3 linked regions of the Bombyx mori genome follow. The protein of the gene in region 1 binds, or shares a complex with, the protein of each later gene. Links are inferred from orthologs where the notes say so. Each region holds a gene or a part of one and is shown on either strand. Other genes may lie near its edges.

Region 1 (10,135 bases):
TTTGTTACGAAATTAGATTGGCCATACGTAGTAATAGACGGTCGTTTAAAAAAATTATTTTGACTTACCTCCTCTTGGCTCAATTCACTCATGATGAAAATTATAGAGTAGATTTTTCTATTAATTTGTTCGGCCTATTCTGTTACGTTAATTTTTCTTTCAATATTTTTAAGAAAAAGAAGCACAAGCCACACAACGAGTCAGTCACCTCGCTCAGCTGTTTGACGTTTGAGGCTGCACAGTGCACAATGACAATGACGAAGTTAATAATGAAAATACACGCGTCATCTTTGTAGATGAATTAGTATAAAGAGTATGTCTCTTTTTGTGATATTTGAAACAACGTAAACAAAAAGAGATAGCACCAAATATGACATTCACCCACTGTAAAAATGTTACCCTAGCAATAAAATCATTCTAGTACTATATAATTAAAGTTTTTTTTAATAATTTTCATACCTACCTACTTTTAGCATTACCCTTCCTGGAGGGCTGAGCCTTTGCTCGGCCAATGGCTCAAAATAATCCGAGTAGAATATTTAATTCTTACACAAACGCAAATCTGTATATGTGTAACATTTATTTGATTTTTGCGGCATAACGTAGTGTAAGTGATTGCAATATTAAAATTTAAAATAATAAATTAATGTGTTTAAAAATGTGTAAGTCGTATGATTTGTTCCGAACTTTTCCCTTTAAGTAAATGAATTCAGTCAATTCTCTGCAGTGTTTTCCTGCAGAGCTGCAAAATCCTGTTATTTGCCATGAATAGGTACGTACGGACAGTAACCAGAAAGAATAACCTGACTCATAAAAAAAATCACATTCACAACTTCTCTTCACTGATACCAGTCAGTCACTTACTTTTTGCATGGAAGTAAGTAGGTAGGTAGGTGAAATAAAAAAGGCAGTGCCTAAAAGTCAATTTAAACGGGAAAAAGTGGCAAGAATAGTTACTATGAATTTATAAAGAGCAATAGCGAGACTGGTAATTTTCGGGGCAGGATTTGGTTAGTTCTTTTAGTTCTTTACGTGTCTCTGCTTGTTTTGAGAAAACTTTTTTGAGGGTAGTACGATTTACAAAATGATATACCTATTAGTCCCAATAGAGGTAGGTTTTTTTTCTAATAATAGTAAATGTATAAATGATCTTATACTAGTCAATAATAAGCATATTTTAACACCATTTATTGACGATATTTTTTGGCCATTAATTTATTATTACATTCCATAATTTGATCTAATGATGACAAAAGTCTACATTTAACGATTTTTGTTTACTCTTTGAACTTAAAATGAAGAAGTTTTGGGTTTTTGTAATTTAGTCTTGAATTAACATGAATAGTTATTCTGTATCGTTATTTATATGTATTCTTCTATTTTTCTACTGTACTTGTAGATAGACGATCATGCGGCCTACTTGATGATGAGTGGTTACCGTAGCTCATGAAGACATTCTGTTTAAAACTCAAAACTCACTATTTAAACCCCACAATTTTTTTCTGTCTGTTTTAACGTCGACGTAGCCTAAAGGATAAGATATCCGTTGCATTCGTGTTGAGCGATGCACCGGTGTTCGAGTCCCAGGCGGGTACAACTTTTTCTAATGAAATACGTACTCAACAAATGTTCACGATCGACTTCCACGGTGAAGAAATAACATCGTTTATTACGAGGGCGGCACTAAAAATTTCGGGAATTAACGAAGTGACACAACATTACTATTTAAAAATGTATTTATTGCTTTTCGAAGTATTCTCCGCGAAATTTGACACATTTTTCCATACGATGGAACCAATCATTGAAGCAACCATTCCATTCGGAAGTTGGGGTCTCCAAAATGGCCGTTTTGTAGGCGTCCACAGCTTCTTCAGGTGATGAAAATCTCTGTCCACGCAATTTATTCTTTATTTTAGGGAAAGTATAGAAATCATTAGGGCTTAGGTCGGGGCTGTACGGCGGATGGTCTAATAATTCTATGTTTTCTTGCTCTAAAAACTCTTTTGTTCTGTGCGCGGTGTGAGAACTCGCATTGTCGTGATGGAGGATGATGCGGCGGTTGCAGTTCTCTTTACGGAGTTCAGAAACGACCTGTGGCAAACAAATGCTAGCATACCATTCTGCATTAACCGTTCTTTGTCTCTCAAGAGGAATAGTCGTAACATGGCCGGTTTTGGAGACAAACGTGGCCACAATTTTTTTGAAACACTCCGTGAACGAACAATTTTTGTTGGCTTTAACTCATTTTCGAACACCCAAACTCGTGACTGGTTTTTTGTTTCGGGTTCGTACGCGTATATCCAGGATTCGTCACCTGATACAATGTTGTATACAGCATTTGAGGATCCTGCGTGGAATCTTTCGAGAGTTCTGACGCACCAAGTAACGCGAGCCGCTTTTTGCTCTTCACAGGGCGAATGCGGTATCCATCGGGAAAACAACTTTTTTACACCTAATTGTTCATGCAAGATTATTTGTATTTGACTCATGCCAATGTCTAAAGTTGCCTGAATTTCGCGGTATGTCACATGTCGATCTTCCTCAATCAGCTTACGCACAGCATCAACGTTTTCTTGGGTGACTGCAGTTTTTGGACGACCTTGACGGGGATCATCACTGAGCTTGACACATCCACGTTGAAACTCAGCAAACCAGCGATAAATTGTGGTTTTGGATGGGGCTTCATCACCAAATGCAGAAATCATCCGGTCAACACACTGTTTTTGTGTTAAACCACTTCGAAAGTCATAACATATCATCGCTCTTGAATTTTCTCGAGTCAATTCCATTTTCTCAACGACTAAACAAGTTTGACAAAACCTCGTGACAAGACCGAGAATCTTTTTTTAAATAAATAAATGGTATTCGATTTTTAAAATCAAGGAGTTTTCAATTAAAAAGATTTTAATATGACAGGAACAGTGGAAATATTCCATTCCCGATACTTTTAGTGCAGCCTAGTAAAAATCAAACCGCAAGTGTTGCTAACACTGGCCCTAACATCTACTGGTGGTAGGACCTCATGTGAATACTGGTGGTAGGACCACTTGTGAGTCAGCGTGAACCACCACCCTGCCTATTTTGGCCATGAAGCAGTGATGCGTTTCGGTTTGAAGGGTGGGGCAGCCGTTGTAACTATACTTGAGACCTTAGAACTTATATCTCAAGGTGGGTGGCGCATTTACGTTGTAGATGTCTATGGGCTCCGGTAACCACTTAACACAAGGTGGGCTATGAGCTCGTCCACCCATCTAAGCTTTGATGTTTAATGTGTTTTAAGCAAACACATACTATGTTGTTTGCTTTCCCTATTATTTTCGAAAGCCATAAAAGAACCATAAATGGCTTTGATGAAATGTCTATGACCCGAGTTGAAGCTGATGATCAATTTAACTTTGTCGTACACGAAAAAGAAAAAGATAAAAGTACACAAAAAAAATTATATCACACGGATTCTTCAATGTATCTAATTATAATAACTATGTATAGTTCAAAGTAGGGAAGCAAGGGTAGTTTTCCAATTACAGAGCATAATGCGACTCAGTGGGACACAATGCCGAATTATGCTGAAGCATAATTGGAACGTGAATTAGTTTTCAAATGCATCAGCAGAGTGCGCTAAGTTCAGTATTGAAAAAAATATATTCAAACCTCATTAATGTATAAATAATGTAGTGGTAAACAATAATAATTGGTTGAAAACTATTTACGGTTATTTTAAGTAATTTAGATTTTGATTATTTCATTAACACTTTTTTAAGTTTTGAGTAATTTTTATAAACGAGTTATAAGAAAATTATATACTTTTTAATTGAATCATCTTATCCAGATGATAGTGTTGACGATGATTTATCGAGTGCTTCGAGTTTAAATCAATTATTTCATTAACAAGTGATATACTTATTGAAAATATATATGATAATGAAACAGATGAGTTATTTGAGCCATTAATAAAATATCTGATGACAGGCAGTACTTTTGAGAGTGCTCGATTGTGCGAAGCGTTGCTGTAGTTGGACCATTCAACGTTGAGCATTATGCCGCATAATGTGCTGTAATTGGAAAACTACCAAGAAGATTTTTTTAAATACCTACATTTGTGAACCATAGATAATCTATCAATCCTGTGTCAATGGCCGAATGTTATTAACTTCATTTGTTTACATTTATCTTTTAATAATTTGTTTAAAAATCGTTGACTATCAATTAAGTCGACAAATATACAAACGAAATCATGACTAATAGTAATTTGAGTGAAACATTGATAGAGGTTTGAATTCATAATAATTTATAGCAGTGATGGTGATGAACTGCGAGTGTAATAGTTTGTTCTGAGTCTTTTAAAAAACAAATCTGGCTTTCCTTGAAATGAAAATTTCTGACAAAGGCGACAATATGACGAATCATCAAGTATTAGAGCTGATATCAGGTCTAAAATCTCGACATTCAGAAACAAGACACCGAGCTGTGCGAGAGTTGCTACATTTTGCCAAAACAGAACTGCGGGAAATGTCTCAGGATAGTTTGACCCAAATTTTAGATGATTTCAACCAACAGATACACGATATGACCACTAGTTACGATAACAACGAAAAAAAAGCTGGAATTCTTACTATAGGTACATGATAGAGGTTATATTTTTCTATTGGCCATGATTCACATGTCTTTAATGGTTCCAAATAATTAATCTATTAACAAATACAGAAATTTTGGAGTAGGTGGTGCTAATTTAAATAAATAAAATGTTATAAAATATCTTTTCAGTTTGTCTTATTGGAGGTGATACAGAGACCACCAAAACAAGGACAATACGTTATGCAAATTATCTACGAAATGTGTTTCCATCTACAGACATAAATCTCTTAGAATTGGGTGCTAAAACTATGGGACGATTAGCTTCCTCATTAGGAATTAAAAGAGGAGAATATGTGGAGACTGAAATAAAAAGATGTTTCGAATGGCTAGCTGAAGAAAGAAATGAAGGCAAACGATTATCGGCTGTTTTAATTTTGAGAGAACTGGCTATATCTATGCCATCATATTTTTTTCAGCAAATAAATGGATTCTTCAATCATATCATGAGAGCACTTAGAGATCCTAAAGATCAAATACGAGAAGCTGCAGCAAAAGTTTTGAGGGCTGCTTTTGCAGTAACCTCTCAGAGAGAGCAGCCAGAGCAAAGTAACAAAGCTCATTGGTATATTCAATGTTATGAAGAAGCAGAGACATCATTTGGTGATCATGCTATTAGAGAAAGGGGATTGAACAGGGATGACCATGTGCATGGAGCTTTATTAATTCTAAATGAATTACTCAGGTGCTCAAATGCAGCATGGGAGAAAAAATACACTTCTCTAATGCAAAAGCTAGACCCTGATTTAGATTCTCATGATGAAATGTCTTCTCTCAGTCCTAAAATTCAGGGTTCATGGTCATTGTCACATTATTCAGATGAAAAAAATCAACCTCTAATATTTGAATCCAGTATTTGCAAGAAATTAATTGAAGATAATTGTGAAAAAATCTCAGCTGGTATGAACTGGCAAAAAAAAATTAATTTGTATTTAGAAAAATAAATTATAGTGTCATTGTATCTATTGAGACTAAACAATTATTTTTTACAGATGTAATGGCTCAGCAAATATCAAGAGCTCATAATGTGCATCAGATGCTCCTTCTGTTAATACCTCGATTAGCTGCCTTCAACAAAGAAACTTTTGCTAAAAGACATCTGAAGTCAACGATAAATCATTTGATAACATTCTTACGTGGTAGAGAAAAAGAAAAGGCCATGGCTTTCACCACACTTGGCTTGGTTTGTGTAGCTATGGAATCAGATGTACAACAGTATCTCTCAAGAATTATTGATATTATCAAATTAACCCTGCCAATCAAAGAAACACAGAAAAAACGTAACGGATCTGAAACACCATTATTTCATTGTGTTACATTACTAGGATTTGCCATGAAAGAGAATGTAGCAAATGAAGTTAGAGAGCTGCTAGATTCTATGTGTTTGACAGGCTTAAGTCCACAATTAACAACTTGCTTTAAAGAACTAAGCAATAATTTACCTTCTTTAAAAAAAGATATAACTGATAAATTATTGAACATGCTATCTTTAATATTGAGAAAGAAACCTTATGTTTCTACCAACGAAAATCACAAAGGTGTCTTCACAACTGCTTTGCTAGCAGAACCTCATGATGCCAATAAATTAGTATTGGCTTTGAGGACTCTAGGTTCTTTTGATTTTGAATGGAATAACACTTTGATGTCCTTCATCAGAAGGTGTACAGATCATTATCTGCTGTGTGATCATCACGACATTCGGCTAGAAGCAGTAAAGACAGCTGCAAGATTATTAACGAAAGCTGTGGAGAGATGCGCCCAGATAAATTCACGAACTTTAAATTTAATGATTGATGAATCCATAGGTAAAATTTTGTCTGTTGGACGATCAGATTTTGATCATGAAATACGCTACAGAGTACTTGAGGTGTTTATGAATCCAGTATTTGACAGATATCTTGCTGTAGAAGAACATCTAAATTGTCTTTTTGTTTCTATTAATGACTCGAATTCTGAAGTTGGAGAACTAGCACTGTGCATTTTTGCAAGATTGAGCAATCTCAACCCAAGCTATACCACACCAACATTGCGTCAACTGTATGTACAAATTCTAATAGATTTGCAACATTCAGAATCTCCGCGGAATAAAGAAAAAGCTTTACGAATGATAAATAATATTATATCTCATGCTCCCACAATTACACGTCAATTTGTTGATACAATTCTAAATGTGCTTATACCGAAACTGAAAGAAAAGGACAGTAATTCCACTATGATATCTACAGTACTAAAGGCCATCGGAGATTTGGCAGAGGTTAATGGTGGTGGACATGCTTTAAATAAATGGTTAACAGAATTGATTTCTACTCAAATTGAAATCCTGGCAGATCCTAATCAAATCGAAAAGAGAAGTGTTGCCCTATGGTCTTTTGGTCAAGTTGTAAGTGCAACAGGGCACGTGGTCGCTCCATACATGGAATATCCCAAGCTAATGGATCTTTTGCTAAATTTCTTAAAAACGGAACAGCAACTTCGAGAAATACGCGAAACTGTTCGGATTTTGGGATTGTTAGGAGCATTAGATCCATATAAATATAAAGTAAATCAAGGATTAATAGATTTCCAAACTGTGTCTACTTTGATACCTATAAGGGAGCCGTCAGTCGATAGTTTTGAATCTAATATCAGTGAAATGTTAGTAAATATGTCACCGTTAGTACTAGATGAATTTTATCCAGCCATCGTAGTGACTTCACTAATGATAATGTTGCGCGATCCGACGTTAGCGCACCACCATCCAAGTGTTGTGCATTCTGTAACTTTTATCTTCCAATCACTGGGTATTAAATGCGTCCCGTACATATCACGTGTGACGCCAACGCTTCTACACGTTATTCGGACAACGGAAAACAGCAATTTTCGTGAAATACTTTTGACGCAATTAGCACAATTGATATCTGTTGTGAAAATCCACATTCGAAACTATCTGGAAGACATTTTTGACATGATAAGGGAGTACTGGACTCCCAACAGCCACCTCCAAGCTACCCTAATAATGTTGGTCGAACACATAACGGTCGCGATCGGTACAGAATTTAAAATTTACTTACGTAAAATACTACCGAACATTCTTAGGGTATTGAAACACGACACAAGCAAGGATAGATTTTTGACAGAGAAACTGTTAATAACAATACAAAAGTTTGAGAATAATTTGGATGACGTGCTCTTGTCGGTGGTGCCAGCGATAACCGCCCTGTTTGACGGGAGAAACATTCCGTTCGCAATTTCGAAGCTTGCGATGGAGACCATCGAGCATCTCTCCGTGCACTTGTGCGTCAAACAGTATTCGGCGACAATCATTCAAGCCCTCGTCAAAGTTTTGGATAACAACGCTTCATTGAGGCAAACTGCAATGAACACTCTCTCCGCTTTGATAGTTCAAATGGGCCGCGAATACATAGATTACATACCGTCTATGGAAAGGATATTATCGAAACATAAAATACAATGTCCTAACTATATCGTGTTGGTAACGCGGTTACAGCTAATATCTACGCTTGCATCAGATGATGATTATTTGGACGAAACGCGGTCAAGACTTCGTAATCAAAAGAACGAAGTGAGTGTAGGCAACATCTATTAGCAACTTGTTGTCACAATTAAACTGGGTGTTTAAATAATAACATGATCTATTTTCTAGATGGTAAGGTGCACAACGGAAATGCAGCCTATACAGAAAGTTACGTTAAATGTACACAATTTACGTAAATGTTGGTCTGTCCATAACATTGTGTCCAAAGAAGACTGGATGGAGTGGTTGCGTCTGCTCAGTGTCGGCTTCCTGACCGAATCCAACAGCCCTGCTATCAGGCGAGCAATTGTGATATTTATTTATCAGTCCCTTAATTGTAAAGCATAAATCAAGAGTTGTTTAAAAAAAATTGGTAATTTTGGTAAATTACTTACAGAGCCTGTTCTACTTTAGCACACAACAACCCTCAACTTGCGAGCGATCTGTTCAATGCGGCGTTCATGTCGTGCTGGACGGAGCTGGACGAGTCCTCGCGCAAGGACTTGGTGGCGGCCTTGGAGCGAGCACTCACCGTGCCCGACCTGCCGGAATTAGCGTTAGCGGTCCTCAACCTGGCCGAGTTTATGGAGCATTGTGAAAAATCATTGTTACCGATTTCCATAAAGTTACTCGGAGACACAGCTATAAGCTGTAGGGCTTACGCTAAAGCTCTTTATTATAAGGTTAATGAATCTTTATTATTGTTCATAGTTAATTAAATGTCTTAGTGATTTTTTTTTCAAATTTTTTATACACGTTTTAGGAGGAAGAGTATAAGAAAAATCCGTGTACGAAGGTAATTGAAGCTTTAATTCATATAAACAATAAGTTGCAACGTAAAGAAGCTACTAACGGCTTACTCGAAAAAGCAGTTAGTGAAAACAAAAACGGAGAGAATGCTATAAATAACCACGTTCACTGGTACGAAAAACTTAACAATTGGGACCAAGCTCTAGAACTGTATACTATTGCATTAGAATCTCAGCCCAACGACGAGGCTTCAAAGTTGGGAACGATGCGGTGTCTGGAAGCTATGGGCGAATGGAAAAGATTGTACAGTATGACCCACGATCAATGGGACAACATGGACGAGGAGTTTCGTAATAAATCTGCGAAAATGGCCGCAGCGGCATCTTGGGGTCTTCAAGAATGGTACTCGATGAAGAAATACGTGGAACTGATTCCAGAAAGTACCCAAGACGGGGCTTTTTACAGGGCCATCATAAACATACAGGACGGACAGTGGGCCGAATCGAGACATTACATCGATCTTGCCAGAAGTCTCATAGATGTCGAGCTGACAGCAGTGGTTGGAGAAAGTTATCAAAGGGCTTATGGAACACTAGTCAACGCCCAACTGCTAACCGAATTAGAAGAAATTATCACTTATAAATTAATAGAAGAAAGACGAAGCACAATCCGAAAGACTTGGTGGACACGACTCCAAGGCGGGCAGAGGCTGGTCGAGGATTGGAGGAAGATATTACAAGTGCGCAGTCTAGTCATGTCGCCGAGAGAAGATTTTCAGACGTGGTTGAAATTTGCGTCGCTATGCAGGAAAACGGGCGCAATTAATCAAGCGCATAAGATAGTTATTTCGGTGTTGGGCAGCGATCCGATCTCGAACCCCGACGTCATGTTACACGTGCAGGACCCGCGAATCGTTCTGGCTTACAGCAAGAACTTATGGGATGTCGGCAACAAACGTTACGCTCACGATGTCTTGCAAAGATTCGTGGATAGCACCGAACCGGAAAACGAAGAACATTGTCGTCTCTTAGCGCGTTGTCACTTGAAATTGGGCTCGTGGTGCGAAGCAATACACGAAATCAATGAGCTATCGATCCCGGAAATCTTAAGGAACTACGCGACCGCAACGATCCTCGCCCCGGAATGGTACAAAGCGTGTCACGCGTGGGCGTGTATGAACTTCGAAACGGTTCTGTTTTACAAGCAACAAGACAACACGTCGGAGAGCAGTGTAACGGG
Region 2 (10,139 bases), on another chromosome or scaffold:
TTGCACAATATCTTAAATAGCATTTGAATACCTATCATATAAATAATTTTTTTATTGCATTTGTAGGCAGACGAGCATACGGCCCACCTGATGGTAAGTGGTCACCGTCGCTCATGGACGTCAGCAATGCTAGGGGCAGAGCCAAGCCGCTGCCTACCATAATTTGTTAATAAAAAATTTGGAAATCATGATGAACTCAGCGTTAGCACTTTATTTCTAAAGTTTTTTAATTTAGGTAATGATACTTTTTTTTATACCAGTCCCTAAGTGTCTCTATATATAATATTAAAATTAAATTACATTATAATTCAATATATACATAACTAAATATTATTGCAGTTGCATTCTGAAAAGAAAGCAGTTTTTTTTCCCCTACCTAGCTGAGAGCCTTGAGAGGCTATTTCAGCGTAACCTTAACTAGCAGGTGAGTTCACGGGGCTCAAACCTGACGACGTTGCTAACACGAATCCTAGCAAGAGCCGTGCTTCGCAGAATCTACCTCCGGATCGGAAACGCGGCTCACTGAGAAGAACGGAAGAAATATATTTGTTAGTCGTTTGTTTTGTGTCTCGTTAATTTGTTAATAATCTGTAGTGTATCGTGTTGTCGTAATATAGAACTATTTCTCGTATTGTTTCGTTTAATTTTTTATATCCAGTAAACTCCAGTCGTGCGTCGGAGCACACACACTTTTTTTTTTTTATCTTTATTTATGGAGATTATTCACTTAGTGAATATGTCACTCCATTGTGCAACAAAAGATAGTAACAAAAAATAAATAAAAAAATAAAGAAAACTGTTATCGTCTCTGAAGGCCCACCAACACAATTTTATAAAGTGACTTAGCCATTTCAGATTCCAGAAAGGTTAATACGCAATTTACACCTCCAACTTGTCGAAAATCTGTATGTTTTTCAAAGAATTGTTGTCTCAAATCATCATTCCGCGCACACTCCATCATAATGTGAAAAGCGTCTTCCACTACATCACAAACTGAACAATTGGGATCAGCAGCCTTCCCCATTAAATGAGCAAATTTATTGAGTGGGATGTGCCCGGAACGAAGTCTGAAAACAGTCACTAGGGTGGTTCTATTAAGGTTACAAGAATCAAACCATGGCGATTAACATGGTAAACTTTGAATTGTTTTATACCACACGCCTTTTTCCAAAGACCTTTCATCGAAAAATACCTTCCATACACGATAACGTTCCTCTCTTACTAAGGGTGCGTTCCACTAAGCGCCCACAACGATCAAAATACTCCTTTAGTCGTTCCACATAACGACCGCGGTCGTTGTGGTCGCGGCGAAAACGTCACTTATGAAGTCATGACTTACGCTCACGCGAAGCCCACGACGACCCATCTAAAAAGGTGGGTCGAAGTGATCGTTGAGAAAATTAGCGGCGTTTTCAAAATTCAAAGCATCAAAAATGGCGACCGTTAAGCTTACGTTATTTCATGCGGAAAGAGATACTATCTGGAGCATTATTGCGACCTCTTAGCAAATATCCAAGTGCCGAAAAGCCACCGAAAAGACATTTTAATTACATTTGAACGTAAATTAATTAAATACACCACTAATATTAAATATAAAAGATTAAATTATAAATGTTTTCAATATGAATCGATTTAAACAATATTTAAATAAGTTTATTTTCAAGGCTTACAGATTATAACCTAACCTCTTAAAGCTTTTTATTAACTCGCCGTTTGTATTATTTACCTCCACGCTCAAAATGCTCTATAAATCCATTCCACTTGAGTTTACGACAGTAACGCTCACGAGCAAGTGGAACGGGAAAAATTGCGGTCGTGAGCGTGATCGTTGTGAACGCTTAGTGGAACGCACCCTAAGTTGACACAATCGGTATAATTAGGAACTATGTTCAATGGTACACCATCACTAGAAGCTTCCTTATTTAACTTATCCAGCCAAAAAATTTAAAGGTAACTGGTGACGCAGGTGAGCGTCACCTTAAACGTGAGCTGATGAGCTGAAAGGGAGCATATGAACTCTGCGGAGAATAAGCGGACACGATAGGGTAGGTAGGAAAACGGGACTTACTTGGAGGCTGATGTTGGCACTATCACGGTCGTAGTGGTGTTTCTCTGCGATGGGTGGCACATACACCTTTTCACCGGTTCACACTATACCTTTTACTTAGTATCGAAAGGCGCGCGCGCACAATTTACTCAATATCGAACGAGCGTATCTCCGCGTGCCGTCATGTACCGCACTGTTATGAGAGGTGCGGGGTGCGTACGGGCGACGGCACCCGAGTTGAGCCGAACATTTACAAACGTCGCGCTGTCGCGCGAACAGTAACCAATGTTACAAAATAGTAGTATATTTTGTAACTTTTGTTTGTATGCTTTATTATATATTATGTTAAATATTCCAAAAACAAATAAATATTTGTTTTTCTCTAACAATTTTAAATGTTTTACTAAGGGTGACACATAATGACATTACATTAAAAAATGCTAATTAAATTTCTTTATTTCCAGAAAATAGAAACATCCGATATTTTTTTAAATCCCAAGGAAATAAATTGATTAAATCATTTTGGTTATTAATTTTTTTTTCCAAAAGTGCCAAAATTATAATTCGCAAATAATGGATGAATTGAATTTCTTGAATTATCAATTAAACAGAAAATTATGAATTAATAAAAGTAATTAATTATATAGAACAATCTTGATAAGACTAAAAAAACCATTTTTCACTTTCAAATTTTGCCACCCTGGGCACTTGCCCCGACTGCCCTAAATGTACACCCACCATTGGTCACAGATGAGTTAGTTACTACGCCACTGGTGGAATGACGAAGTTCGACTTTGCAAATAGTATATAAGCGTATATCACGTATATCGTATATCATACATCGTATAATATTGTAGTTCGTATATCGTATATGTAGTTCAGTTGATATACGTATATATTATACGTGTATCAACTGAGCTGCAGTTCATTAAAATACCTATACCTTTTTCAGTATTTTTATGGCTTCCAAAACAACCACACCGCTTCTGATTGTAATCGATTGTTGAAGGATAGCTACTTGATCATGAGTATGGGGCTTTGTAAGTGCTTAGTGCGAGTTTTTTAACTTCTAGATCGCGTAAAAGTTGCCTCAAATTTGTGTGGAGTTGGAACAGTTCCCCTACGTTTGCCGCTAGAGTTAAAAAGCTCGTACAAAGCACACTTTTGCTAGTTGAAAATCATCTTATGGGAATTTATAGAATTGCAATTTCATTTGCGTCTTTGACAAAACAAAAATTTCACTTAGCATAGATCATACTTAAACATTTTAACAGTTTGTCAAATACGTCAATGAATGTCAGACGTCTAAAAAAATCAAATGTGTGGATTTGTGATGTTGGTGTGCGAGGAAAACAGGGTTGTAATTTTATTACACTTTCTGTATTCAGTTAATTTATTTTAACCCTGAGAAAAACTAATTAATTAGAGCGGTGACTATTTAACAATATCGAATTTAGCTTGTGTTTTTGAAAATGAGATGATGGATTTATCCGAACACATTTTGAATCGAAGGAGAGGTAATTTATTTGTAGAAATTACATTAACGATTTGTTTAATTTCTACGTTAATGTTGTTTTCAATTATATTGACTTCGACTGTTACTATTTGCCATGCAGCATAGACTATAATTTTTCATCACATATTTTAGGAAAACCTGCAAGTGATTTGTTTAAGTTGGACATCAAGAATAGAACTCCGGAAGAGAATATCAGGGACATAATACAAGGCCTTTACGTAAGAAAATCAACACAAAATGATACATCTCCCTCCTACAAAACTGTGCCTACGGAATACAGGTCAGGATTTAGAGGCATGCACAGAAGTAGTACTGATAGCAGAAAATTGGCCTACCTGAATGCATTAGTAACATTGTTATGTAAAGAAGAGAGAAGCAACCTAGGGTTTACTCCTGATGAGTTGATGGCATGGTAAGAATTATGTATTAAAATTATATTGTTGTGACAAAATTTCAATACTGAATCTTATAAGCTCAATAAATATTCTTGTATCATAGCCGAAACTCATTGTTGTATGCCATATTGTATTGTAAGTATTTAAAATAAAATAGGGTCTTTAACAAAGTTATTGTTACTTATAATTTGTCACAAAAATCACACTAATGTCAAATTGTAAAGTTGTATATGGTTATATATATTATAATTTAAACAACTTTTAAGTTTTTATCTTACGTTTTTCATTATTTCTGATGTTTTTGTAGTCATGTATGAAAAATATGTTGTCAGCATTTGAGTATTGTTAGTCGACCTTCAACTAACTACTTTTTGTTTTTCTATAATAATATTTCCACACTAATGTTTCATTTTGCACAGAAGATATTAATAATCTTGAAGTATGTCAGTTTGTATAACTTAAACTGACTCTGAGACAGTAGATTTAATTATGCGTACAACTTATGAAAACTGAAGGAAATATTAACATTTATTTAGAGAATATGAAACATAAGTAGGTATTATTTAAAACATATTTCTTGTTTTCAGCTTGCGTATTAGTCTTGTGGATGAGTCTATGGTTATTCGAGCTGCCGCTTTAAGAGTCATACGTCACTTGTTGAAGACTGATTATGATGTCACTATTTTCAATAATATGAAATTACCCTACCTCGTTGTAAGGTAAAAAATAATAAAGCACTTTTTATTGTAAAACTCTTAAAAAACTGTGTTTTAAACTGGAGATATCTATAAAACAGTGCTAAGATGTTGCTGACCCCACGTATTTTTATTTTAAGCCTGTTTGTTTTTGTTAATTGGTTTGATTCAGTCTTTTCTCATACAAATTTCTACTGCTGCTAACATGCTAGCCGGAAAGTGATGACCATAAATAAAGGCCATATTGGGACCCGCAAAATTATAATTTGTGTAATTACTGGTGGTAGGAACTCTTGTGAGTCCGCATGGGTGGGTACTACTGCCCCGTCTATTTCTGCCGTGAAGCAGTAATGCGTTTCGGCTTGAAGGGTGAGGCAGCCGTTGTAACTATATTGAGACCTTAGAACTTATATCTCAAGGGGTGTGGCGCATTTATGTTGTAGATGTCTATGGATTTCAGTATCCACTTAACACCAGGTGGGCTGTGAGCTCGTCCACACATCCAGGCAATAAAAAAAAAGTTCATAAAATGATGATTAGTGCTTAATAAGGTTACATTACTAATAAATGTAATTGATCACAAAACTAAGCCAAGGTGCTGATTCCATAGTCTAGGATTGAGCTACTTCTCAGAGGTCTTTTCATCATTGTAGTTGCACAAATATTAACTCTAAACTGACAAGTTTTTATATTTATGTTAATATACCCTTTTCCTTTTACATACTTAAGTGTTAGTAGTATAACATAATTGTTTTGGCTATGCCAACACTACCCTCATACCTAGTATTTCCTAAGAATAGAATACCTAAAAATAGATAATTGACTGTAAAGGCAATACATACAGTTGAAAAATGAATAGATTGCATTAATCAAAAATAATCAATTTGATATAATTACTGTGTCATGTTATGAACAAATTTCATAAATAGAAGTTGCCATGTACATTGTATACACAAAATGTACATAATAGTAGAGTTAATACAAATAACAATTATTGAAACTGAATATGAAGAAAGTTTTCAAATGTGAGACTATCATGTTTTTATAGATCTATGGAAGTTATTATTCGCAATGAAGAAGAACGTGCCCAAGCTATGCGTGTTGCTCGGCGGGCGTGCACAATGAGAGCTGCAGCAGCACTTCTTCGATGTCTAGCTGCACTTGCAGCAGACCCTACAGCTGATCGACTATCCCGTCCAGCTGTGGCCACATTAGCAGAGATAAGTAAGTTCAAAATACTTAATTAAGAAGCCTTGGCTTTGGGAATTAGTAATAATAATATCCTTTATTCTGATAGACTTACTAAACAGAGTATCACTTGGAAACCAATCTTAATTGTTAACCGTTCTCTTAAACTAAATGTAAATTATAATACACACATACCATCAAACGAAATGTACTTCTTAAACATGCTTTTATTAACTTGACCTGTATCTATCTAATGTTAACAATTCAATGCAATTTTCACCAACTTTAAGGTGTCTAAAAATCTTGAAATACTTCATTTTAGTGAAATTATTTACATACTTAATCTATCGGATGCATACTTTCATACATAATCGTTTTTTTAATCTTGATATAAATTGATTATGATTTTTTTTCCTAACTAATTAAACTTTTTCACTAACATAGTTATGTGTTCCTTATCACTTTATTTGACGGTTCAAGGTGTCTATGTAAAAGAAAAAAATTTTTTTAGAACCTTTCCCTTTTCATTCATAGCCAGACTATTATCACGCAGGAACCTTCGTCTTGACAAATTATCAGCTAAAGTTATTAGCGCATAACATGAATGCTAATGTTCACCGTCTTACAAATTGTGGATATCAAAAAGTAACACTGCTGGTCGAGAAGCTAAGTAATGTTCTTACTGGCGGTACTTTACTGGTGGTAGGACCTCTTGTGAGTCCGCACGGGTAGGTGCTACCACCCTGCCTATTTCTGTCGTGAAGCAGTAATGCGTTTCAGTTAGAAGGGCAGGGCTGCCGTTGTAACTATAGCGAGACCTTACAGCTTATATCTCAAGGTGGGTGGCGCATTTACGTTGTAAATGTTTATGGACTCCAGTAACCACTTAACACCAGGTGGGCAGTGAGCTCGTCCACTCATCTAAGCAATAAAAATAAAATAAAATAAAAAATGTGTGTGTTCATGTCACACACGGTAGAAGTGAAACTTATAAATAAGATATAGATATACTGACTATCCCACTACACAGAAGCATACATATGGACAATGTTTAGTATACGATAGTGGGGATGCTACGAAGAGAAAGAGAACAACAAAGCAGAGACCGAGAATGTCTAATGTGTTCTATCGCATTCTCTTGCCGGCTGAATCCTATTCATTTGTGTTTGTGTCTATGGACTTATTTTTTCGTTTCATGGAGTTTGAAAGCACAACGATCTAAAGAAGTTTCACTTCAAAAATAATAATTTATGTCTGTCAGGCGTTGTCAACCCGGAGCTGTGGGTGTGGTGTGGCGGCGCCAGTGCCGTGTCCCGCCAGCTGGCCGAATGCGCGACCCCGCGACAAGCGGAGGCGTTGTGCGGTGCTCTCCTGCACGTGTTAGACCGACCGGGCCCGCGACGTGCCGCCCGCCTCACCACAGCCTGTCTGACGCATCTAGCTGCACCGTACTGTGACTTCCACTTCCGTTCAGCGCCTACAGATTCCACCAGGTTTTTATTATAAGCTTCTTATAAAAATGGATATTAGCCGTTCACTTTCCAGACAAATCAAAACAATGGTGCAAATTAAAGCTAATAATTGTTTTTTTTTTCCTACCTAAACTGAGACTAGCCTTGAGAGGCTATTTCAGCATAACCTTAACTATTAGTGAGCTCACGGGGCTCAAACTTGACGACGTTGCTAACACAAACCCTAGCAAGAGCCGTGCTTCGCAGAATCTACCACCGGATCGGAAACGCGACCCACTGAGAAGATCGGGCGAGAAACTCAGTGGGCTGTTTGTAGGTCAAATTACTTGTAGAGCCCTTCGTCGCAACCGACGGGTATGAATAATTTAAAGTTTTCTTTGGAAAATAAAATCTCTTAGTCTAGTCTCTTAACTAATGCAACCTAAAAAAATAATCGCAGTATTTTTTTTTAAATCCTTTAGTAAAGAATAATTAAAGCAATAGCTAAAAAAATCAATTACTGACTGTGGATGATATAGCTAGGAATAATAGGATAGGCCATGTTGTAAATCACTGGGTATTTAGCATCAGTGTTCGGCTCAAACATAGTTGGCACTACAATTGAAACCTAAAATACTTATTTCTTTATAGGGATGAGAGAGAGATGCGGTTCACCTGCAGTAGATTGGCGTTGCTATGCGTTTTAAGGAGTTGGCCAGGGTTGTTACATTTTTGTCACCCATCGAGTGCTGGGGGATTACGATCACTTGTTGCTGCTCTATATTTACCTCGTCTTGAAGTTCGGGTAAGTGCCAGTTTTAATTGTAAATCAAATTAATTGCTTAATGATTTTGAAATGGTCGTGGCTTAAAGGATAAGTCGATTGATGCACTCAGATGGAACGATACTACTATGTCGGTGTTCTAATACCGCATACAGGTGTCAATTTTTTAACATATGTTCATGTTCGTTGTGAACCCGCATGGGTAGTGTATTTCTGCCTGTTATGATGTCTTCGTGTTGCGGTAACCATTTGACATCATGTGGGCCGTGAGCTCATTCACTAGTCTATGCAATATAATATATTATGTATTTATGGTAAACCATAAAAATGGTTTAAGTACACAGTTGATTGGTTTTGAATAAGGGAATTAATTGTATGGTTCATAGTTAACATTTATTGTTTGTATGTGTGTTATATTACAGAAAGCAATATTGGATTTGCTATACGAATTAGTAGGGCTACCACAACCTGAATGGACAGATGAGATCTCAGTCGCGCTGGACGCTGTGGACCCTTCAGACTTTCAGGTTAATTTTAACATAATGCTGTTGGTTTTATCAAAGTTTCATCTAACTTACACGAAATTTATATTTGTAATGTCTCTAGGATACGTGGCGGCTTAACGAAGGATTTGTTGCCGCGGAAGGCATCGCAATACTACCTCATCTCGCAGCTACGGGACCCGATATTACGGAAAACCACTTAGCTCTATTACTTCAATGTTTCCTAGAGGTACAACCCTATTCGCGTTATACAATTTTTTTTTTAATGTTTACAGCAGTATTATAGTATACAATTAAATTCTAGGTCGGTCTACTGGACGGGTTAGCTGAAGTGATCGTGACGAGCGACACTTTTATATCGGTGCGCGCTACGGTTCTACTCGGCCAGCTGCTGCATTTAGTACACTTGTTCCTGCCTCCTCCGATATGTAACATCACGCCCGCCTTACCCGTCCTAATGTCTCAGGCGTCTAACGGAAAGCCTCAAGCCCTGGCAGCGGTGGCCGCCTTGCGGAAACTGCACGCGATGCTCGAAGCGAGACCCGCCAGCAGCAGCCTTTTCCTCGACCACATCATTCAGTACTGCAGCGGAGCGTTCAAGGAAAAGAACGAAGACGCCGCCAAGAGTCGGAAAGAGAAGGACAACGCCAACATAAGACCGAGACAGGAGATCGGCATTCACAAAAACGACAGCATAGAACTGCTGAACGAATCGGACAACGAGAACGAAACGAAACAAAGGCACAGCGTCGGCTCCCGAAATGACGTCACCAACAGAAACATCAGTGCGCTCGTTAAAAGTAAAAGCGTAACTTCGCGAACTAGCGCCGCCGTGAGCAAGGTCGCCAAGTCGGCCAAGTTTTTCAATTTGTTCGAGCGAGACAGCGACAGTTTGATCCGGTCCACCTTGGTCATGCAGAACAAAGACGGAAATACTTGGAATTGGGAAATCATAAGAACTATTTTAAAGGTAACGCTCGAAGTTTTTGAAGTGAAACTTCTTTAGGCGCGTTGAGAGTATAATTTAACTCGCGACAGTTTCGTTTAGGAATAGCCAGAGTAAGAAAATAGACAGCGTTTGGCGAACCACTCAACCGTGGAGAGAGGGAAATAAAAAAGCGAGCTAGGTCGTTTCTCTTGTACATAGCATTTCTCTTACAGGCGAATTTTTGTTAAAGGATGAAAAATGAAGAAAAGCACATTACTATTGTACATTCCGCAAAAGAAGTTTCACTTCTTTCACGCGCACCATTTTTTTTTGTTTCATTGGGTTCTATGATTTTAATCTGTACCTGTTTGTTATTTGTTTTAGGAAAATGATACTACACCGTTTTTCAATTTAAACGACAGCGGACACAAGGCTTGGGCGACTCGCATTGTAAACTATCTGAAGCCGTCTTCAAATAAATATTCACACATGGATCTGTCGAGCACGTGTTACGGTCACTCTGCCACACGTGCCGGCTGTCAGCTCATCAGGCATCTATTGCGGCATAACGATGTAAGTTGTGTTAAAGTGTCTATAACATTTTATGTGGAAACCATTGACATACTACTCTG
Region 3 (10,019 bases), on another chromosome or scaffold:
TAACCATTCTTTTATTCAAATAAAATATCTTTTTACACCTTTTAGCAAATCTCATAGTTACTAAATAATTAAGTTTATTCATTAAATGTTACAAAGAACAAAACAATTTTACTTAGTTTGAACTGTCAAGCGATATTAATGCGCGTACGCTATCCTACCGCGCTTGTTTAAAATTTCGCGCTTTGACAATTATTATTATTATATTTTATAAATCGGTACTAAAAAAAAATGATAATTAATAATATTGAATTAAAGTATGTACATTAAGAATTATATCTAGTCGTCGCTGTATTAGCGAACAAAAATGTACTTATTAACATTCCTAATGCGAATATTCTTATTTGTATTTAATAGTTATTTAGTTTTATTACACTAAAAATTGACGTCTTTTATATAATTGAATCCTAATGTTTTAAAAAAAAGTATTTAAATTTGACGTACAAGTACCTAGTTATAATATTATTAGTTTTAGTTTTGCATTTATGGAGATCTGATACAATATACCATAGTATTATGTACGCTATAAATAGATATATTGATGTTTCATGGGAGCTTGTAAATGTTCCATGAAATATGTATTTGTTGAACGAAATACACACTTTAAAAATGAAGTTGACTTGGTCATATTTTATTTACTTTTACAATCCATCTATACTGTTTAAACGCTCAGATACTTCTGTGAAATTACCTTAAATGTTTCAGATTTATAATACGATTTTTGTATCACTTATCTCACTTGCGAATGAATGTCATTTGCGTCCATTCCAATTATTATTGTTAATGCAACAATCACCTAGCTGAACCCTTCAGGGCGAACCTCGAGTCACCAGCTATCCTTCCATCCCAAAAAGGCGATGTAATGAAAACGATAAAAGTAGCTTTACTTTAGTTCATTAACATACAATTACCATCGCTTTCTCGAAGTAATTACAAACACAATACAATAAACAATACAAATAATAATTCAAAAACTATTATTTATTTTCTGCCTGCTACATGCTACTTTGTTGGCCATGTGCATTGCTAGTGTTTAAGCACTATTTTTTGACAAATAATATAACCAGTAATAAAAATTATAAAATTAAAAATAGTGTTTATTTTTATAAAAATATACATTTACACTTTTTATGAAGAAAAAAACCATTAATGCTATGTAATCATTTATTCAATTAAAAATTAATTCAATTATTATATTATTTACAACTTTATTATTTATTTATTTAAACTTTATAATCATCCCAAATTATTTTAAACCATATCTATTCAAACAGGTTGATCTTTAAACGCGAGTGCTGTGATGGCTTTCTGATGACCGCAGTACTCCCGTTCAAGCGTGCCACGCTCAATGTTCCATAATCGAGCATAACTATCCGATGAACCTGTAAATAACAAAATAAAATTATCTGGTTTTTTTAAACTTTGAAAAAATTGACTGGGTTGCCAGGAAATTGAAAATGTCTTACCAGTGAATAAAAATCGAGAATCAAGCGTAAAGGCTGCGTCCCAGACCCATCGCTGCGTGTCGCGCCGTAGCTCTCGCAACAGCGCCCAGTCGCTCGTGCGCCAGATCTTGGCCGAGCAGTCGCCCGACGTCGTCACCAACATGCTATTATCACATTAGTCAGATATTAAACATTTTCTAAGTTACTATACTTATTGCCTTACTTATGCCTTGCTTTCTTGCTTGCCTTGCTTTACTTATGATAGAAGAGTATGGAAGGAGAAAACATGTTGCGCTGACCCCGGGTGACTGGGAGAAGGGCAGGATAATGATGATTGCCAAGATAAACTCATTTAATAAACACATGCAACATCTAATGTCTTAAAGTTGATTTTAACTGAAATGCTGTAACATCTCCAAACTCACGTTGAATCTGGGCTAAATTTACACCGTAAAGCATATTTAGAATGTGCAGTAATGTGTTTTTTGGGCACAGGGTGCGGTGGTTGTCCGCTCAACGACCACACGTAGCAGTTGCCCTTGTTATTAACAGCCGCCATCATCTTGCCGGCTGGATCAATAGCTATGTCCTGAATCGACGCCTCCGCTTCTGGTATCTAACAAAAATAAGGATAAATAGTATAATATTTATGTGTAACATGTAAATGAAATAAACATGGTTTATTTAAATTGAATTATGTGGTTGGACAGGCACTTGGCTAATGATTGATCAATTACTAGAGCTTATCAATAAAACATAAATGCTCAAAACTGATGATTGTTTCGTGGAAAAAAAAAGGTAGGATGGTGGTCCATACACAAGTGGGTTTATAATACATCCAACCATCAATCAACCTATTAAGGACAGCAGAAATATGTTATAATATACAGAAAATACTACTGGCCATTCTCTAGTAAATACCTCAGTAGCCTTTCTATATATCCATTATGAGCATATTGGTGATATCATGTTGGCATCAGCTTTTTATGCAGGAACACTACTGAATAGGATGCGGAGATAGAGTGTTCCTTTCACTTTTGTAGCTCACCACAACATACTGTATTATAGCTTCTCAGCTGATAGTGGATGTAAAAAAATATATATAGTAAAGTTACCAGTTGTTCATTTTGATCCGTTTTCAGATCCCATATATGTATAATGCCACTCTGGTCTCCAACCATTATCTGGGACTGATCAGGATGAAGCATTACTGCATTCACCGGAGCTTGAACTTGGAATATCTTTTGACACCTTGTACGTGGTGCAGCCCTACATGAGAAACATGCCGCTTTAAAATTTCTATACTAAGCTTTCTAGGTCCAGTCAGTAAATTGTGTTTTTAAACTCAATAAAAGTTAAAGTTTAATTTCAGAGATCAGCAGACAACCTCATGGTCTCCTAGTGTAAATAGTTATTAGCTTCTATGATCTAAATTTTGATTTTATTCCATAACCATTAGCATTACACTTGACAGCTTTAAAGCAGGAATCATATCTTCATACCACCAGTAAATATCAGTTGGTGAATCTTTTATAATAAGCACGAATATAACGAATGATATAAGGTGCTGCATTGTCATCTAGCATCAGAGAAACCTCCAAACATCATTTGGCCAAGGTTAGAAAACACAAATGATGTTACCTAATAACTGGTTGATATAATACATAGCGTCTTTAACCTGGGATCCCATATCCTGGCTGTGCAGTCCTCACCTCCTGTGTACATCCAAGTGCCATTTTTCTGCAAAGTTACAATTTAAAAAAAAAAAAAATTAATGACTTGTCTTATTGTAATAGATGTGTTCACAAATTAAATATCCAATCATAAATATACATAGTTTTTTTTTTTTCTAAAAGATAACAATCTTGAAAAGTTGTTTGAAAATGAATAACTGATTTTAACATCAGTTTTTGTTTAAAAACTGCATGTCGACACAATTTGTGTGTTTTTCAAATTGTTGCCCTAGAAATAATTATAATCTCAAAGATTTATAGTAATTCCTATGCCAGTGAGATCTCAAATATTTAAAGGACACTGAAGATCCAGTTTCAACTGAATGAGTTTTGAACTGAGAAAAGAAATATATTTTTTTTTCTATTCCTGGCAAATATTTAGAGACATATATTAAAGACACGTACTTCCTGTAGTTTACTGTCAGTGACACCTAGGTCACAAATAATCTACCTGAAGGTCATGTATATATTGTTTTCAACAAATTTTAATTGAATTTATGCATAATACCTGAAACCCAACTCGAGATACGTTTTTGGAGATGTCCTCAAAAGTTGTGACCGGGTCTGGATTGGCACTACTAAGATCATATAACCGTATATGCTGAAATCCAGCTGCTGCTACCATCGATGTTGGTGAGATCTCCAAGCTGTTCACTTGCTGAAAGGAAAACTCGTCATGCAATAAGCTTTAGCTGATTTTCATAATATAATCAGTTTGTAAAAATATCACGAAAGTTAATTTAAGTTACCTCACAAAAGATGACTGGCATGTTAATCTGAATTATATTTGTACAAAGTGGTCTGCTTGTATTAAATCTTAGCTCACAATTATCTGACACTGTCGTGACCAGTTTTAATCGTTTAGGTAATTCTCTTTTTTTGGACATTTTTGCAACTTTACAGGAGAGCCATTTAAAGTTTAAAATTCTCATAATAAAAAAAGTCCATCAGCTATTTGGATGCAGTAAGCTTAATTGATGTTCAATCAAAAACATTGAATTGGTGATAGTTAATACCAAATAAAATGGACCTTTAATTACAAAGATAAATGTCGCGTATTAATCGAAATATCGCTTAATTCAAATAGCCTTTCAGCCCTCGTTATTATTCAAAGCGAAATTTCCAAATCAATTTTTTATGAAAATTTAAAATAATCATGCAAATTTACGGAGCGATTTGAATGAGTTATCTGGAAATGAATTGAGTCATTTTGGTCATTTATAGAAGATCAATAACCGAAACATTAAAATATGAAGTACCGAATCTGGATGCTGCATTGTTCGTAAACAAACACCACTGTGTGCCTGCCATAGCTTGATAGTATGATCGTAGCCTCCTGTTACTAAAGCCACCTGCGATCCTCCAAGAGAAGCAGTGGTATCACCAGCCATTTTATGAAACTTATTGTTTAAGCAATTGGCATATTTATTTCTTAAAAGCACATTTTTTTATTTCCAACTGCCAGGTAATTTTGAAATTTCGGATTTTAATTTTTAATTTCGAACTTTCCGAGCAACATAAATCTTGTATGATGTGATATAATCTACGTTATACTTGAACCGAATTATCGGGGCGCTTTTAATATTACTGTAAATTCTAACTAATGCATCTCATAAAGTCAAAACATAACCAAAACAACACAGCACAGGTAATTCAAAGTTGAATGAAGTTAGCCACTCAAAAAAATTTTTTTTTCCTATTTTATACTTATTTTCTATTAATTCGTTTGTTCATCATTTGTTCATGATTGTTCACTGTTAATAATTGTTTGTTCTGCATTTATTTATTTAAAAAAAATATTTAAAAATATACCTACAAGTTAGCCCCTCTAATGCAATTTTTTATATTTTTTCATCCTTAATGACTCGTAAATATTCATTTTCGATTGTTCTTATATAAAACACGTTTGTCCTCTTTCGAAATTACTCGTTTTTTGTTTAATTTACTATTTTTATTAGTTGAATAAATGTATGCAAAATATGTGTACTGCGCATGCGTCAACTATAATGCCTAAACTTTCCACGCGGTTTTAATCGTAAAAAAAAAACAAATATAAATCCTGAAGGAGCAATTAATTGGTATACAGTTTAATTAAAAAAATTAAAAAATAAATAAATGAAATAATGTGCATTGGCGTTAAGTTAGACCAAATACATTTTTTCCATCCTCTTACCTATCGTATTAAAATGTTATTTTACTAATGTTAGGAATATAATTTCGACTGTGTAAAAAAGTTATTATAATGTATACCTATATTATCTCTTGAAAGATAAATAATGAACATATTTACTTATTTGTTTATATTACCTATGTGAACTCCCTATCTTTTTTATACCTTCATAACGATAAGTAGGAGGATGGAAAAAATGTATTTGGTCTAACTTAACGCCAATACACATTATTTCATTTATTTCTTTTTTAATTTTTTTAATTAAACTGTATACCAATTAATTGCTCCTTCAGGATTTATATTTGTTTTTTTTTCACGATTAAAACCGCGTAGAAAGTTTAGGCATTATAGTTGACGCATGCGCAGTACACATATTTTGCATACATTTATTCAACTAATAAAAATAGTAAATTAAACAAAAAACGAGTAATTTCGAAAGAGGACAAACGTGTTTTATATAAGAACAATCGAAAATGAATATTTACGAGTCATTAAGGATGAAAAAATATAAAAAATTGCATTAGAGGGGCTAACTGGTAGGTATATTTTTAAATATTTTTTTTTAAATAAATAAATGCAGAACAAACAATTATTAACAGTGAACAATCATGAACAAATGAATTAATAGAAAATAAGTATAAAATAGGAAAAAAAAATTTTTTGAGGGGCTAACTTCATTCACCTGACTTGAATCACATTTTCTTTGGATGCCTCCTACGTGACTGTTCCTCATTCATAAATTCCCTGATAAACCTCCGAGTTCCTCTTCCCACATCAATCCCTACATTATTAATAATATTAAAATGTAAACAGTTTTAAAATATAATATTCTTTTTATTTATACCCAATCACTATATATTATGAACTCTTAGGCATTATTATATATTATTATCCTATTACGTACATATCCTTTCCAAATTTCGAACCTTCCAATTGATTCCTAAATAAAACTGGTTTCCCTACCTTTTCCACACTAGTAGTGGCAAATGCACAAACCGTGCGAGTCAAAATATAAAAAAAATAAAAAATACATGCTTCCATCTTGAGGTTTTTTCTTGTTAATCTTTCGTATTTTAATAAGAAACAACATCTTGGTACCTAGATTATGAAACTAAAACATATCAAGAAATTATTTTCATGTTAATCCAACCTTAAAAATTGATAATCAAGGAATTGCATACCTATCAAGTTTCTGATATAGGTACAAGCCCAGACCCAAAATCTTGAGACAAGTACTGCATCAGATCAAATATTAGGTATCAAATTGAAATACAGAACTAGGTACCTATCTAATGGATGCAGTCTTACATGGTCAGTTTGACTAGTCATAATATTAATTCTCAATAGTATGAGTATTCTAAGATGGGATCAATCACGAACTAGATTTAAGTAATTAATGTAGGTACCCACCTACATTTTATACCCTCAAGACTTCTAGTAAAGTCTATGTTCAGTTCCATCCCTAAAGTACGATAACAGTTCTTTTAACTTGGTCGAAAATATTTATACCTGCTACGAAAATTAGTGTCTATATATGACCAATGACCTATTACTGAAACTGCAAATCCAATCAGCCAGGTTGCTCAGTTACTAACCTATGTATGAACTGAAATTAAAACACTAATTATAAGAAATTACTTTATTGAACATGTAAAATCCGTATTGACATGAGGAATGCTAATTCTCATTTACAATATAACACAAATGTAAAATTTGAGAGACAAATCACATCGACAACCTACCTATAACTAACTAAAATACAACATACACATGAATTTCTTAAGATTATTTTTATGGTAATGCCACAAATCTATGCTAGAATTCACCTGAAAGGCGAGTCTCAAGATTAAAATGACACTTATGTGGTATAGTTTTATAATATGCATAAGTCCTAAATAAAGCCACGAGGTAACCTCGACAAATGCTTAAGCTTATTGTTTGGTACCATTATTAGCAATGAATTTACAATGAAGAGGTAGGTTTGAACAAGCGGGTGCAATATCCTTCCAAGGAGTAGACATTATAATAAGTCTCTAATTTTACATATTGATAGTTACACCAAAACTTATGTCCAATAGTTCAGCATTAAAATAAAACTGAATCGATATAAAATAATTCATAAAAAGCACAGCTTTAATTAGATATTGGTGCAGACATAGAAGTTTTGATAAAACCAGTCAAAAGTATATCTCAAAATAAGCATCCACAAAGTCACAGCGAACTTAACGAGGGAGGGCTAACTGTACAATTCCCTGGTGAAATACATGCTAACACTTACACATTATTTTTTTGAGGCTTAGAAACCTAGACCCTAGTGTGCGGCAAAACTTTCCAAACTCTGCATCTTATTTTATATCTATCATAACTAACACTACAATATCAAGAAAATTAAAGGAATATTGAATCAAGAAATGAATTATTTAATTGCATTTTATAAACAAAATACCAGTTGCAGTTAAAGATGATTCCAACTCTCATTAAATGTTAATCAAAATCAATGTCAAATGCATTTCATACAGACTTTGGAAAGTCAGTCCCGTTTTACTTTGTAATAAATTAAGTCCTTATTCAATATGAACAGTAATGTCTTAAGGTTTGGGAGATCATTCACTTTCTTCTTCCTCCTCCTCACCTTCCTCTTCCTCAGACTCTTCCTTCTTTTTCTTGGATTTCTGCAATAAAATAATTGTTGTTTAAAGATTCAACAAATGCTTTTAATATTGAAGAATTTGTTTACTCACAGCAGCAGCAGTTTTCTTGCCCTTTTTCCCTCGTTTTTGAGCCTTCTTTTCGCCCCCTTCGCCACCACCGCCATTGGCATTGTAAGATTCTAGGTCTTTTGCATATTGCTCCTTGGCCTTGGCAGCTTTCTGTTCCCATTCCTAAAGTAATTTCAATTATGAATCTCTATTGTAACGCGCTAGATAATAAATCACATTTTATTTCAATCATTGTACTTACAGTTTTGTCTTTCATTGATTTCCAAATTTCACCGCCTTTTTTGGCTATTTCGGTTACTCTTAAGCCAGGATTTTCAGATTTTATCTGTTCCCTCGCGCTGTTTAACCACAGCATGTATGCGGACATAGGACGCTTCGGCTTGTCCGTCATTTTGACTTTTTTCCTGGAAGAAATACCATGCTCTCTAAAAAATACTTCGCTTCCCACAAGGCAGCAGGTTCAAAGAGTCACGTTTTACGAACTTCAAGCTCTAGACGGTCTACGCACTGCTTATACGGTGTAACAGGGCGTCATTTTGGCGGGAAACGTATTTAGGCCATTTAGGACCAAGATTGTAACAGTAGCCATAAATAATATTTAATCAATATGAAAACCTACGAATTAGACTAACATATTCGTATCCATAACAGCATAAAACATCTAAAATAGTTATCGCCCCATTAACGAGTTCACTGTCCTAGGCTTGGGTCGAACGAGCCATTTTGTTTTCACGAATTATGTAGAAAATACGCAATATCTTTAAAGGACAGGATTACCAAATAATCCTTTGATTATTAAACTAAAACTTGTAGAAGAACTGTTAGGGTCACTCAATGGAAAAGATCCGAGAAATTAATTATTGAAATAAGGCGTCACTCTCCTTACCCACGCGTACCAAGGAAAGTACGGCGATGCATATAGCCATGTTTGAATGCGAATTCCAACGTGGAATGAAAATAAATCCTATGAATCAAGGCTTGAGAATCACTAATAAACTTGACAAATTGTTCAACTTTGAATAGAAAATTGATTGGACTTACCTGATGGCAAAAATTTTGAAATAATTTTTGAACTGGTACACAACCAAACTGTAGACGTAGAGAATGTGAAGAAATGTATGGGGCTCGAACAAAATGTTCCCAGTCGAAGCTAGCTTGGGGCCGTCTCGCGTCGCTAAGGTGGCGCCATCTACACGAATTCTGATTGGCTAAAATCATCAGGTGTACCAACAGTCCAAATGTCACAATGGTTCTTGTACTACGTATATCCGTGAAATCTCTTTTTAAAAAGGCAATATAATTTGAACTCTAATGGCATAGGATTAGGTTTATTTTAGTGGAATTTGACGAGCTCCATACATTTGCTTCTAAAAATGATTTTATAGTATTTGTTAAGAGAAATAGTGGATTTGTAATAAATTACACATTTGTTTGGTGAGAATAATATAAAGATTATTTTTTCTGAAGTATTTTTGATCCAATCACATAAAAGTATATCAAAGAGGACTAAGATCTCTCGACATGAGATTCCTACCAAAATTAACTCGCGCCTTATTTTAAATGCCGCCAACGTTAAATTCGAATTGTACAAAAGCGCGCCAAGCGTGAGAATGAAAGGGACGCCAATAAAACATAACATTGGAATGGCAGACGTATTCGTTTGTTTACGATTTGGTGCCTCATGAGAACTCCAGAAATAGTTTTTATCGGCAAGGATATAAGGCTGAAGTGTTCATGTTTGTAGGAATTACTAAAATGTGCTTTTGTCAATTTTTCTTTTTATCTGTTAACTGATAACGACATGTCAAACTTTATATGAAGTTATTGTAAATTAATATTGCATAATACAATAAATATGTATCTATTCTCATAAGAGAGGTTCTGCAGGTTTTTCAAATTGTAATTGTTTAAATGTTCAATTAAGACAGTTTGTAAAGTTGAGTTTTCTAGTAAA

Evidence for each region.
Region 2: the proteins of TOR1 (region 1) and rapamycin-insensitive companion of mTOR are in contact, whole or in part, in a cryo-EM structure (PDB 6ZWM), measured with the Homo sapiens proteins. The link is inferred for Bombyx mori from reciprocal best matches to the Homo sapiens genes MTOR and RICTOR. Residues at the interface, in NP_001373429.1 of Homo sapiens: Arg1028, Asp1032, Lys1068, Leu1069, Asp1108, Asp1109, Tyr1110, Asp1150, Lys1187, Asn1196, Val1200, Gln1207, Asp1210, Val1211, Cys1214, Arg1215, Lys1218, Gly1219, Tyr1220, Thr1221, Leu1222, Ala1223, Glu1226, Glu1227, Asp1228, Leu1230, Ile1231, His1234, Arg1235, Arg1238; in NP_689969.2 of Homo sapiens: Leu204, Arg205, Gly206, Asn209, Arg245, Asp247, Val248, Glu249, Glu251, Arg252, Leu254, Thr258, Asp259, Phe260, His261, Tyr262, Arg263, His264, Ser265, Pro266, Asn306, Gly308, Ser311, Gly314, Val315, Cys317, Ile318, Pro319, Glu345, Ile347.
Region 3: the proteins of TOR1 (region 1) and target of rapamycin complex subunit lst8 are in contact, whole or in part, in a crystal structure (PDB 4JSV), measured with the Homo sapiens proteins. The link is inferred for Bombyx mori from reciprocal best matches to the Homo sapiens genes MTOR and MLST8. Residues at the interface, in NP_001373429.1 of Homo sapiens: Leu2269, Arg2270, Met2271, Ala2272, Pro2273, Asp2274, His2277, Leu2278, Thr2279, Leu2280, Met2281, Gln2282, Val2284, Glu2285, Val2286, Glu2288, His2289, Asn2292, Asn2293, Glu2536; in NP_001186102.1 of Homo sapiens: Tyr20, His22, Asp42, Ser43, Gln44, Val45, Asn46, Tyr62, Asn87, Glu105, Gln148, Thr174, Arg221, Tyr222, Leu224, Ser268, Arg270, Gly271, Trp272, Trp274, Ser290, Lys313, Val316.

The regions. Positions count from the first base shown.
Region 1 is NC_085109.1:10,803,550-10,813,684, reverse strand, and holds the start of TOR1 (target of rapamycin), read left to right. Parts: upstream 1-4,135; 5' UTR 4,136-4,270; exon of another isoform or gene 4,271-4,368; coding exon of another isoform or gene 4,369-4,618; intron 4,619-4,764; coding exon of another isoform or gene 4,765-4,883; coding exon 4,884-5,532; intron 5,533-5,624; coding exon 5,625-8,194; intron 8,195-8,275; coding exon 8,276-8,445; intron 8,446-8,543; coding exon 8,544-8,829; intron 8,830-8,909; coding exon 8,910-10,135. Other genes in the region: ubiquitin conjugation factor E4 B, read right to left, coding at 69-92. UniProt on the Homo sapiens protein: Serine/threonine protein kinase which is a central regulator of cellular metabolism, growth and survival in response to hormones, growth factors, nutrients, energy and stress signals.
Region 2 is NC_085128.1:9,696,433-9,706,571, forward strand, and holds the start of rapamycin-insensitive companion of mTOR, read left to right. Parts: upstream 1-3,322; 5' UTR 3,323-3,524; coding exon 3,525-3,564; intron 3,565-3,695; coding exon 3,696-3,975; intron 3,976-4,545; coding exon 4,546-4,677; intron 4,678-5,701; coding exon 5,702-5,877; intron 5,878-7,102; coding exon 7,103-7,334; intron 7,335-7,943; coding exon 7,944-8,097; intron 8,098-8,498; coding exon 8,499-8,603; intron 8,604-8,682; coding exon 8,683-8,808; intron 8,809-8,883; coding exon 8,884-9,549; intron 9,550-9,891; coding exon 9,892-10,080; intron 10,081-10,139. UniProt on the Homo sapiens protein: Component of the mechanistic target of rapamycin complex 2 (mTORC2), which transduces signals from growth factors to pathways involved in proliferation, cytoskeletal organization, lipogenesis and anabolic output.
Region 3 is NC_085114.1:11,952,808-11,962,826, forward strand, and holds target of rapamycin complex subunit lst8, read right to left. Parts: upstream 4,841-10,019; 5' UTR 4,567-4,840; coding exon of another isoform or gene 4,435-4,566; 5' UTR 4,108-4,434; coding exon 3,925-4,107; intron 3,834-3,924; coding exon 3,684-3,833; intron 3,183-3,683; coding exon 3,121-3,182; intron 2,712-3,120; coding exon 2,558-2,711; intron 2,059-2,557; coding exon 1,868-2,058; intron 1,607-1,867; coding exon 1,264-1,606; 3' UTR 1,148-1,263; downstream 1-1,147. Other genes in the region: mobility group protein 1B, read right to left, coding at 7,949-8,017, 8,087-8,227, 8,307-8,456.